Xenopus tropicalis: one gene and its partners. The protein of the gene in region 2 interacts with the protein of the main gene of each other region in a pairwise test. Links are inferred from orthologs where the notes say so. Each region holds a gene or a part of one and is shown on either strand. Other genes may lie near its edges.

What was found.
Region 1: the proteins of exoc7 (region 2) and prpf19 interact in a two-hybrid assay, tested with the Homo sapiens proteins (2 studies listed by BioGRID and IntAct, with this or other methods). The link is inferred for Xenopus tropicalis from reciprocal best matches to the Homo sapiens genes EXOC7 and PRPF19.
Region 3: the proteins of exoc7 (region 2) and ift20 interact in binary tests that used the Homo sapiens proteins (3 or more experiments, as listed by UniProt). The two-hybrid records come from large-scale screens. The link is inferred for Xenopus tropicalis from reciprocal best matches to the Homo sapiens genes EXOC7 and IFT20.

Annotation. Positions count from the first base shown.
Region 1 is NC_030683.2:60,615,653-60,619,304, forward strand, and holds part of prpf19 (pre-mRNA-processing factor 19), read right to left. Parts: intron 3,161-3,652; coding exon 3,085-3,160; intron 2,983-3,084; coding exon 2,873-2,982; intron 1-2,872. UniProt on the Homo sapiens protein: Ubiquitin-protein ligase which is a core component of several complexes mainly involved pre-mRNA splicing and DNA repair. Required for pre-mRNA splicing as component of the spliceosome.
Region 2 is NC_030686.2:45,042,348-45,046,562, forward strand, and holds the start of exoc7 (exocyst complex component 7), read right to left. Parts: upstream 2,807-4,215; 5' UTR 2,752-2,806; coding exon 2,692-2,751; intron 1,345-2,691; coding exon 1,279-1,344; intron 974-1,278; coding exon 789-973; intron 638-788; coding exon 532-637; intron 365-531; coding exon 142-364; intron 1-141. UniProt on the Homo sapiens protein: Component of the exocyst complex involved in the docking of exocytic vesicles with fusion sites on the plasma membrane.
Region 3 is NC_030678.2:47,412,876-47,417,084, reverse strand, and holds the start of ift20 (intraflagellar transport protein 20 homolog), read left to right. Parts: upstream 1-1,399; 5' UTR 1,400-1,678; intron 1,679-4,209. UniProt on the Homo sapiens protein: Part of intraflagellar transport (IFT) particles involved in ciliary process assembly. May play a role in the trafficking of ciliary membrane proteins from the Golgi complex to the cilium.

The DNA of each region.
Region 1 (3,652 bases), on a different chromosome or scaffold from region 2:
TATATATATATATATATATATATATATATATACACACTAAGATATAAATAATCCTTATTGGATGGAAAATAATCCTATTGGGTTTAATTAATGGTTTATTGATTTTTTTAGTAGGCTTATGGTATGGAGACCTAAATTACGGAAAGACCCCTTATCCGGAATACCCTTGGTCCCGAGTATTCTGGATAACGGGTCCTATACCTGTATATATATATATATATATATATATATATATATATACCTATATATACCTATATATACCTATATATACCTATATATACCTATATATATATATATATATATATATATATACCTATATATATATATATATATATATATATATATATATATATATATATATATATATATATATATATATATATATATATATATATATAATCAGCTGTCTTATGGACAACCATAATTATGTAAAACGAAATTTTTAAAAAAAACTGTCCCATACAGCAAAATGTGTGTGAATAGTTAACTATGTACAAAATCTGTTAACTACAAAGGTAGCCTTACAGGTTCAAAATATGGATAAACACCAATAACATAATACACCCATGAATCACAGCTACAGATCAAGAAAAATATTAGGTCAGAGTAATAATATTATTGTTATTCTTTATATCAGTGCTGTCCAACTTCTGTGATACCGAGGGCCGGAATTTTTCCGACCTACGTGGTGGAGGGCCGATAATGGAAGCCAGTTTTGACCACTCCCCTTTTTGAAACCGCACCCACTTGAAACCATACCCATATTAATAGTTGTAGTACAGCAAAAACCTGCCATTCTCTGCCTTCCCTACTCTGCCTGTGTGTGCCATACTCTGCCTTCCCTACCCTGCCTGTGTGTGTGTGTGCCATACTCTGCCTGCCCTACCCTGCCTGAGTGTGCCATACTCTGCCTTCCCTACCCTGCCTGTGTGTGCCATACTCTGCCTGCCCTACCCTGCCTGAGTGCCTGTGTGTGCCATACTCTGCCTGCCCTACCCTGCCGGAGTGTGCCATACTCTGCCTTCCCTACCCTGCCTGCGTGTGCCATACTTTGACTGTGTGCGCCATTCTTGGCTGGTTTGTGCCATACTTGGCCTGTGTGTGCCATACTCTGCCTGCCCTACCCTGCCTGTGTGTGCCATACTCTGCCTGCCCTACCCTGCCTGTGTGTGCCATACTCTGCCTGCCCTATGCTGCCTGTGTGTGCCATACTCTGCCTGCCCTATGCTGCCTGTGTGTGCCATACTCTGCCTGTCCTATGCTGCCTGTGTGTGCCATACTCTGCTTGCCCTGGCACACACAGCCAGCATACAGTGACAATGCTGGCACTGCTCCTACAGTCTGTACAATAACTATATATTAAAAAACTTTTTAATTGCAGTACCACCTCAGTATATGTTCTTTTTGTAGTGTGCATGGGTTATTTGTGGGTTTCTACTGCTCCTACAGTCTTGTCTGAGGTGTGAACAGGGGAACAATGTGGGTGATTACAGTCTGAGCCTGAGGTGTGAACACTGCAGGGGGTGGACAATGCAGAGATTAAAAGGTGTGAACAACACAGGGGATTACATATTTAAACAATACAGCCTGATTACAGCCTGAATCTGAGGTGTGAGCAATGCAGGGGCCAGTTAATCACAGTACTGATACCATTTAAAGCTTACACAAGAGTAAGCCATCAAAGCAGCCAGACAGGTGGGGGGCCACACAGAGGGGGTTCGCGGGCCGCCAGTTGGACAGCACTGCTTTATATGATATATATTATTCATAAGCTAGTGATTTTCAAAGCCATCCAGAAAACAAACAAAATATGTAAGTAGACTGAATGCCTGTATTTGCTAACTAAGCCTAGAAACTCTACTCATTTGTGTAATTAAAAAAAGTTTTAAACCAATGACATCTCTTCAGAAAACTAATTTGACAAACCACTGAACAAAATCATCATCCCTCAATAAAAACATAAAGAATGTTAATTAAGTGGGTGGGGAGATTTAGGGACCTTTGAAGTGTTAACCAATCTGTCCCTGACAGCTTCAAATATTGAAAGGGATTCTGGTCATGAGTTTTATGGTGTATTTTTTATTTCTAAATTACACTGTTTACATAGCAAATAATTCACTCTACCATGTAAATAAATTATTTTTAAGCCAATAAATTGTTTTTTTAGTTATAATATTGATGTGTAGGTAGCCATCTCAGTGCAATGCTACACATTAGAACTGCTTTTAGATAACATAATGTTTCTCCTATTTCATGTAACTGGAGGAGGAGTCACAATGCAGACTTGGATTTTTTACCATGGAGTGCTACTCTGATTACTACAGGTGTCAACTAACTGCTATCTTGCTACCTGCCCATTGTTCTATCTGCTGCTGGGGGCAATATCACTCCAACAGTAAAGAGTGTCAAGTCACATGGCTGTGGCACCTCATGTAGAATTTGTTGGCATAATAAAATGGATATCAATGCAGGATTCTGCTGGAGAAGCTCTATTAATTGATGCGTTTTAGAAAAAAACAAAACAAATATGTATTGTCCCCAAAAGGAATGTTTTGTACCAGGCTGGACCTGAACTTATTAAAGTCTATTTTGCTCTAGTAGTTAAAGTGTTTTCTTCTTTTCCCCCAACAATGTGGATGTAGTTGTATAACCATGGACATTTTTATTGGGGGTCTGAATTAGGTGTTGGCAGAACAGTACATTTAGGACCACAAAGTAGACACACTAAATCAGGTACATTTTATTATAGTTAGCTCCAAAAAACTGCTGAAGCCACAGGAATGATTCAAGCTAAGTTGAACCTCTGGGACAAGTAAAGCAATCAATAGAAGGAAAGTTTCATGTATGTCTTAAATTTGCCAAAAATGCATACCTGAGATGGGTGGAAAACAACACTGGTAACTTTCTTGGTATGACCTTTAAGAGTAGCAAGGATCTGTTGCGATAGTGCATCAAACACAACAACACTTTTGTCTGCCCCACCTACAAGACAAAAAGAAAAAGAGCAAAAACAAGAATAAATATTGCTCTCTGTGTTTCCACTAAAGACATTAATGACAAGCAGAAAGTGGGTAAAATCCTTACCAGTAAGAGTTTTGTTTGTGTCAGTTGGACACAAATCCAATGCCAAAATACCAGGGACACTTGCACTGTGCAGACCCTAAATAGATACACAGTGGTAATTAGAGGCATTTTTTACAGAATAATACAAAATTGAGTTTGTATATGGCCTCATGTTAAAAGGGATTTCTTTACTTACCATAAAATCCTTTTCACTCTAGTCCTATGGGGGACACAGGAACCATGGGGTTAACCCTTTAAGTGCCAGCAGAATTTGACATTTCAGTTCCCCTCAGTGCCAGACGTTTTGTAAACTTTCTGTGCTCTCTCAATTTAGGGGCTTTTACTGGGGGCAGGGTTAAGTTTAGGTAGGCAAACTATATATAGTTTTTTTCAGGAGAACCTGAGCTTTCCTAATCTACCTGAGTTTTTGTGTATTTCCACTTCAGGAACAAGATTTAGAGCTTGAAATACAAAAAAAAAAAAAAGAAAAAATGCTATTTTTCATGATAGAAGGATTTCTACCAGAAACATGTTTTATTTTATGGACAAAAATTCAACTGATTTGGAAAGCCTCATGTCTCCCGAACGT
Region 2 (4,215 bases):
AAGGTTGATCGCAGGTGGGGTTAAGAATGAGAAACAAATGAAGTGAGACAAAGGGAAGTGAATATGGACTTGTAGGTGTTGAGCAGTGAGAGATGTTGGAGGTTTTGGGTTTGCTGTTCTAAGAGTGACCCAACTTCTCACCCTGGTTCCTCCCGTACTCCACCAGCCATTTAGAGATGCGTATGACATCCTGCAGGATTCCCTCAGGTAGGTGTTCTAGAACAGCCTCCTCCTGGCCCTCCAGCTCCTCCTCTGTTCCAATCAGGTCTAGAATGAGGATGGGGGGCACCGGTTTGCTGTATCTCTGCAGGAGACTCCGGAACTCAGTATCCAAAGACTCCTTCCCCCTCTCGAACAGGGATTTCTACGAGAATACAGGCAAAAGAAAACCATGACATCCACACTAGTAAGCACCGTCCTTACTATAGAACCGGCAAAAAAATATTTTATGGTAAAGGCTGCAAGCTAAGCGGTGAAACATATAATGGTGAAACATATAATGGACCACTTCCAGGGTGTCAAAGAACTTACCACTCTGTTTAACTCAGGGCTGTCTGGGTTGTTGTCTTGAAAATATTCCACAGCCTTCTGGATTTTTGCAATGCAGCCCAGGTATTCCTCTAGCCTTCCCGAGGGTCTGAAAGAAAACACACATCTCTACCAGATACTGGCGGCTTTCAACTGCGTGCCTTACGCAGCAAAGGCATTATCCCTTGCACTATACAAACAAGTAGGTTGAAAGCCCTAGAACGAATATCCGTATTATTATGCAATTCAATACAAATTACCCTTCTTTGATGATGCGCTCAGTTTCCGTGGCAACATGGTAGTAGCTGATGACATGGTCCAAGCAGGACAGGGTACGATCGACATTTTCCTGCAGCCGCTGCAGGGTCTCTGTTTGTTTGTGCACGGGAATAATGGAATTCTCTAGTTTCATCAGCCGACTCTCAAAAGAAGACAGGATGGAGACCTGTGTAAGGGATAGAAAGAAAGAAATAGAGGCTTAGTGGGAAGTGTTTATGTCTTGAAGAGAAAGCCATAGGTCACACTGTGCCAATTGGTGATATAATGTAACCATTTTTCTGTTATGGATACCCCCACCTGTGGGCACTGTACTGTTCTATCAGCAGCCACATATCCGCTTACAATCACCCTGGCAGAAGCACTTACACTACTGCCCCACTGCCCCAGCACCATTCTTGTACAGGTGTTTCAATGCTAAATCAGCTTAGGGCACAGCGACACTCCCAGCACCATATTAATAGCTACACTCACCATATTGTTTGTCAGCTGATCGCTCTTCTCCAGGCTCTCCTTGATGAAGGCTAAGGTTTCCTCTTCCTACAACATGGAAGATAAAGGGAAATGTCTGTTGGAAGTGAGCTTTGGGACATGTATAAAACCCGCACATATCAAAGACAATTTTTTTTCTGTAACAGTTATACATTGTGTGAGTCCTTTATTTTTTTCAGTTATGTGCTCCTCCCTTTCTGTTTTCCATTTTCATTCTTTTTCTCATTTCCTCTTTACATCCATTCTCTCAGCAGCTTTTCATCACTATCAGTTCTGAATGAGTAGCAAATGTATTTATTTTTTTAAAGTTTTTATTTTGAAATTTTCAAACAAATATTTAAACAATTACAGAGTAAGAGAGAGAAGCTAGGAGAAAACTAAGGTGAGGCAAGTGCGTTTAGTGTACTTTGACAGAATCAAGTTTATATATAGTCAGACATTTTATATGTTTAACCAAGTGTCCCATATAGCGTCAAATTTTCCCAGGCAGCCTCGTGCTAGATAGGTAAGTGTATCATCTACTAATTTTCGCCAGTATTGTAGCAGGGGGATCAAGAGATTTCCATTGCATTAGCTTTGCCTTTTTAGCATCATATAACAATTGTAAATAGCACATCCTGGAGTCAGACCGGAGCTGTAGGGCTCCTGTTATTCCCAGTAAGCATAGTTTAGGGGAGCGAAAGAGCTAATTTCTCATTAATGTATTGAAGTACCTCGCTCCAGTGTCTTTGAATTACAGGCCAAGACTGATATATAGACAGATAGATAGAGTAAAAGACATGACATATAGGTAGTGAATAGGAGAAAGATAGAGTGAGTGAGTGAAAAATAGATGATAGAGTGAGAGAAAGACATTTAGCGTAAAAGACATGATAGATGATAGATAGATAGATAGATAGATACATAGATAGATACATGATAGATAGATAGAGTAAAAGACATGATAGATATATAGATAGTGAATAGGAGAAAGATAGAGTGAGTGAGTGAAAGATAGATGACAGAGTGAGATAGAGACATTTAGCGTATAAGACATGATAGATAGATAGATAGATAGATAGATAGATAGATAGATAGGTACATAGATACATACATAGATAGATGATAGATAGATAAATAGATAGATAGATAGATAGATACATAGATAGATGATAGATAGATAGATAAATAGATAGGTACATAGATACATACATAGATAGATGATAGATAGAAAGTTAGATGATAGATAGATAGATAGATAGATAGATAGATAGATAGATAGAGTAAAAGACATGATAGATATATAAATAGTGAATAGGAGAAAGATAGATGATAGAGTGAAAGACATTTATAGTAAAAGACAATATAGACAGACAGACACACATTAATGTGAGATTTAATAACAAAACAAAATACCTGCTTAAGCTTTTCCTCTATAGTCTTCTTCCTGGCGGAGCTATCCTCCGAGGGGATCATTTTTTCTTAAGAAATTATTTGCAGCTAATATCCAAATATTTTAGGTTCAACTCCTCCGCCCTTCCTTTCGGATTCTGACATCAGATGTCAACATGCTTCACTTCCGCCCGGAAACGCTTCTCTCGTTCAGCCAATGAGCGGCCGCCATATTGGAGCATTCAGAACGCGGCGCCATATTGGAGTTGGAAATCGGCGGACGGGGCGCCATGTTGGAGGTGGCAAATTAAGGCGCCATATTTGAGTCATGTTGAAGTTGTGCCGACTAACTGAGGTCGTGATTAAATGAGAGTATGACTTATGGGGGGGAGATTTCTAAGAACAACATGTATATTTAATAGACTGAATACTTTTATGACGCGGTATATAAGGCCGACATTTTAAAAGAAGACGCTTGGGAAAAGCTATAGCATATATGCTTTGTGAGGAAAATGGCCAATATATACGTTCATGTATAGTAAATGAGTAAATGAGACTCATGTTCAGTCATGAAAGACTCTTGGTGAGACAGTCTTTGAGATACAGGTTATCACTAATGCATTTTGTATGTAAAGGACTTCCATTCCTACATGCAAGTCAGCTGGGAGAGACAGGTCAGGCAAAGAGACAGGTCAGGCAAGGAGACAGGCAAAGAGACAGGTCAGGCAAGGAGACAGGTCAGGCAAGGAGACAGGTCAGGCAAAGAGACAGGTCAGGCAAGGAGACAGGTCAGGCAAAGAGACAGGTCAGGCAAGGAGACAGGTCAGGCAAAGAGACAGGTCAGGCAAGGAGACAGGTCAGGCAAAGAGACAGGTCAGGCAAGGAGACAGGTCAGGCAAGGAGACAGGCAAAGAGACAGGTCAGGCAAGGAGACAGGCAAAGAGACAGGTCAGGCAAGGAGACAGGTCAGGCAAAGAGACAGGTCAGGCAAAGAGACAGGTCAGGCAAGGAGACAGGTCAGGCAAAGAGACAGGTCAGGCAAGGAGACAGGTCAGGCAAAGAGACAGGTCAGGCAAAGAGACAGGTCAGGCAAGGAGACAGGTCAGGCAAAGAGACAGGTCAGGCAAAGAGACAGGTCAGGCAAGGAAACAGGTCAGGCAAAGAGACAGGTCAGGCAAAGAGACAGGTCAGGCAAGGAGACAGGTCAGGCAAAGAGACAGGTCAGGCAAGGAGACAGGTCAGGCAAAGAGACAGGTCAGGCAAGGAGACAGGTCAGGCAAGGAGACGAGACAGGTCAGGCAAGGAGACAGGTCAGGCAAGGAGACAGGCAAAGAGACAGGTCAGGCAAGGAGACAGGTCAGGCAAGGAGACAGGTCAGGCAAAGAGACAGGTCAGGCAAGGAGACAGGTCAGGCAAAGAGACAGGTCAGGCAAGGAAACAGGTCAGGCAAAGAGACAGGTCAGGCAAAGAGACAGGTCAGGCAAGGAGACAGGTCAGGCAAAGAGACAGGTCAGGCAAAGAGACAGGTCAGGCAAGGAGACAGGTCAG
Region 3 (4,209 bases), on a different chromosome or scaffold from region 2:
CCCTTCCTGGCCAGGCCTCCCCATACTGTTACTGTAATTCCCTTCCTGGCCAGGCCTCCCCATACTGTTACTGTAATTCCCTTCCTGGCCAGGCTCCCCATACTGCTACTGTAATTCCCTTCCTGGCCAGGCCTCCCCATACTGCTACTGTAATTCCCTTCCTGGCCAGGCCTCCCCATTACTGTCTTACTGTAATTCCCTTCCTGGCCAGGCCTCCCCATACTGTTACTGTAATTCCCTTCCTGGCCAGGCCTCCCCATACTGTTACTGTAATTCCCTTCCTGGCCAGGCCTCCCCATACTGTTACTGTAATTCCCTTCCTGGCCAGGCCTCCCCATACTGTTACTGTAATTCCCTTCCTGGCCAGGCCTCCCCATTACTGTTACTGTAATTCCCTTCCTGGCCAGGCCTCCCCATACTGTTACTGTAATTCCCTTCCTGGCCAGGCCTCCCCATACTGCTACTGTAATTCCCTTCCTGGCCAGGGCCTCCCCATACTGCTACTGTAATTCCCTTCCTGGACCAGGCCTCCCCATACTGTTACCTGTAATTCCCTTCCTGGCCAGGCCTCCCCATACTGTTACTGTAATTCCCTTCCTGGCCAGGCCTCCCCATACTGTTACTGTAATTCCCTTCCTGGCCAGGCCTCCCCATACTGTTACTGTAATTCCCTTCCTGGCCAGGCCTCCCCATACTGCTACTGTAATTCCCTTCCTGGCCTCCCCATACTGTTACTGTAATTCCCTTCCTGGCCAGGCCTCCCCATACTGCTACACGCTAATGTGTCGGTCGGTACATGGCCCTGCATGTGAGCCATCCCTCTGTATCATGCTATGGGCGTGTGGCTGATAATAAGCCCCTGTGTGACAGCGCCCCCAGTGGGGCAGTTCCTACAAGCCGTACCTCCGTGCCGCATCCTCTGTCCCACACACACCTGCAGCTACACGGGTTACTACTAACAACACTACATACAGGGCGCTCCGCTTCACTCACTTCCCCACATCTTCCTCCATCTTTTCCACTAGCTGAGGTCACTTCCGCAACTTGTTGCCACAGAAACCGCCCGCACAATCATCTTGGGTCAAGTTAGGCACCGCCCAGCGCCAGGGCATGCTGGGAAATGTAGTAGCAAGCTATACTGACCTACGCCGCAGCTTTACGCATTTTAGGCAATAACAAACTAAACTCCCGGAAACCCATGGCGCTGTCCCTCGGCATTAGTTCCCTGGTCATCGCTTAAACCTCGCTAAAAAGAAGGAATTAATACTAGCGGACATATTTAGTTCTGGATTTACCGGTTAGAAAGTCGTGGGCTTTAACATGACCTTTTTTTATAACTGCAGACTTTTTACTCTCTAAAAATGTGTGTACGCCAGAACAACTATATCTTATGTGAACGCAGTCAGGCACCTGTGGTAATACACCTCCAGTATTAAATATGTTCTCAATTTGCATCATATCGCTTCCAACAGAGATTTAGTCACTTTCCGTGAGGACGATTCGAAGCTCAACTACACAATCAAGTTTCTGGAATAATGTTTTGCCAGTATGCAACATGGCGCCCACATACTCAGCTTCCGCTTTGTCACTATGGAATCTAGATTGTGTCCTAGGAAGTGACGTCTGTAAACAGCAGCGAGTTGTATCCGTGGCAGCTGAAGCCGAAGGGTACCGGGAGGTAAGAGCAGCTGGTGTGGGGCAGTAAATGTGACCGTTCCGGGGACTTTGGGGCTAATGGAATAAAAGGCGATAATTCTGATACTGAGCAAGTTACTCATAGCATCCAGTCTGCAGGTGGCATGTCGTTGTTACAAGCAAACATCTGGTTGCTATGGGTGACAAGCCCTTGGCAAAAATTCCCAAATTCATTGCGCTCCACAGAATTTTCAGCGTTAACAGGGCAGCTTTTGCTGATTGGCAGCTCCACCTTGTGGGACTGGGGTAGGAGACAGTCAGTCAGCAACAGATACAGCGGCATAGTAGCCTGGAACATTCCTACACTAGTATGTGTCTAATAAATAACACAATTATCTTCATTATCAGCTTTATGAGATGTACCTAGTGATTGTATTAGGCTGAGGCTGCTTACAGGGCTAGTGTAGGGCAGGCAGGACAGAGAGGGGCAGTTCTGGGGCACTATGGGGCAAACTGGCCTTTGTGCTCAGAAACCTGCAGCCACTGTGCATAAGGAAATCTCATCCTGTCTGTGCACTTAGTGCATCCATGGCAGGGGAATAAGGTAAGAGTAAGAGGCTTGATGCTATAGGGACACCCATATTTGTGTGAGCATGATGGGATCTCTCTGTTATCCTATTCAGGATAGCCACATAGTGTTCAGGGTCTGAAAGAGATCCATCATCTTTGTCCCTCATCACAAAACCGAAGGCAGCGTTTGTTAATGTTTGTATTTTTTTTTCATGATTCATATTTTCATGTTCTTTTGGTTTTTGTTTTGCATTTTAGTTCTTTCAACAAATGACTAGACACTTGGGGGCACATTTACTTACCCACGAACGGGCCGAATGCGTCCAATTGCGGTTTTTTCGTAATGATCGGTATTTGGCGATTTTTCGGAAAATTATCGCGACTTTTTCGTTGCCATTCCGAATGTTGCGCAAAATCTGGCGATTTTTTCAGAGCGTTAAAACTTAAGCGAAAAGTTGTGCCTTTTTCGTAGCCATTCCGAAAGTTGCGCAAAATGTTGTGATTTTTTCGTAGCGTTCGGATTCATTCAAGCTTCAGTATGGTGACTTTTCTTGGGCCAGGTTGGAGCTGCAGGGTGCCATTGAGTCCTATGGGAGGCTTCCAAAATCTTGCTAAGTCTGAAAGTTTCGCCCGCCGCTTACGAGCGTTCAATACGAAAAAGTCGCGACAAGATACGAGCGAATCTTAATGGCTACAAAAATTCGCGTTTTTCGCGCAAATCGTATTGGTAACGAAAAAGTCGCGACAATTTCCGAAAAGTCGTAAAGGCGCTGAAAAAGTCGCAAAATGTTCATTTTCCAATCTGAATTTTTCCAATTCGAATTCGTGTCTTAGTAAATCAGCCCCTTGGTTTTAGTGGAAATGAGTTTTTTCATGGTTTTTAGAAACCTCTAAAACCATGAATTTTAGAGTAATATAGTAAATTGCAAATGTGCCCCAGCATTTTGTGCCAGTGTGTGGTATTCCCTGTTACATCACACAATCATTACTAAGATGGGGGTTTTTCCATGCTCTGTACTGCTAAAGACATAGTAAAGCAGCCCTCTCAAATTTCTGAACAGACAATAAAAACATGTTTATTTGTACCACTTTTGTAATCAGCCCCTTTGACCTAGAAACATCAGATTTTGGGGCTAACTTTCTGTATAGATGCTTTATAGGCTCAGGTTAAAAGGCTGAAGTTCATTGATAGCAGCATCTCATGTGTAAAAGATGTATTACACTGATAGGTTCTTGAATTTGAAATAAATAAATAGATCTTCTTGATGAGTAAAGCCAAATAGATCTCTCATTTGATGCAGAATAATGGCTTGGGCAGCAGATGCCACTGTTTTTACTGAAATCTATAGATAAGGTGCTTTAATGTATGTGTTACTCCCACTCCTATCAATAAATATCCAGTTAATGAGAATGCCATAGTCCATAACATACTTACAGGTAATTTTCAGGTGGACTACCACTTTAAAGTAAAACGTAACCCCAAATGGCTTCTGTTAATTTCTCTTTTGGCAAAGAGCTACTCTGCAGCTTCCCATAGCCAACAGTTGTTTGTCACATAAATTGAACCCTTCCTCCCTCAATAAGTTACTTTCTAGGTGCTGTCACGACATGAGGATTTTTAAGAGATCTTAAGATGCCCATTTAGTCGCTTGATATATTTTAAGAATACTGTGGTGGGGGTATCTTTTAACATTTGACCAATAAGTCTGCTACCACAACTGTTGTTACTTCTCAGATGTAGAAGGCAACCGCAGGATCGTCATGTGAAAGAACCACAATAATAGCAGGAGTCAGAAGGATAGGTGGTTCTTAAGGGATTTGCCTGGCTGGTGTGAGAGAAGCTGGGGGAAATGAGCAGAATGGGCTGCTCTGATTTCTTGGTGTGGTTGATGACTGCGGGCACCATTCCCTTTATTTATTTATTGGTTTGTGGCAAATCCCTCTGGTGACATCACAGATGACTGGGTTGGGCGTGGTTATATAACTGAAAGCATCATGGCAGGT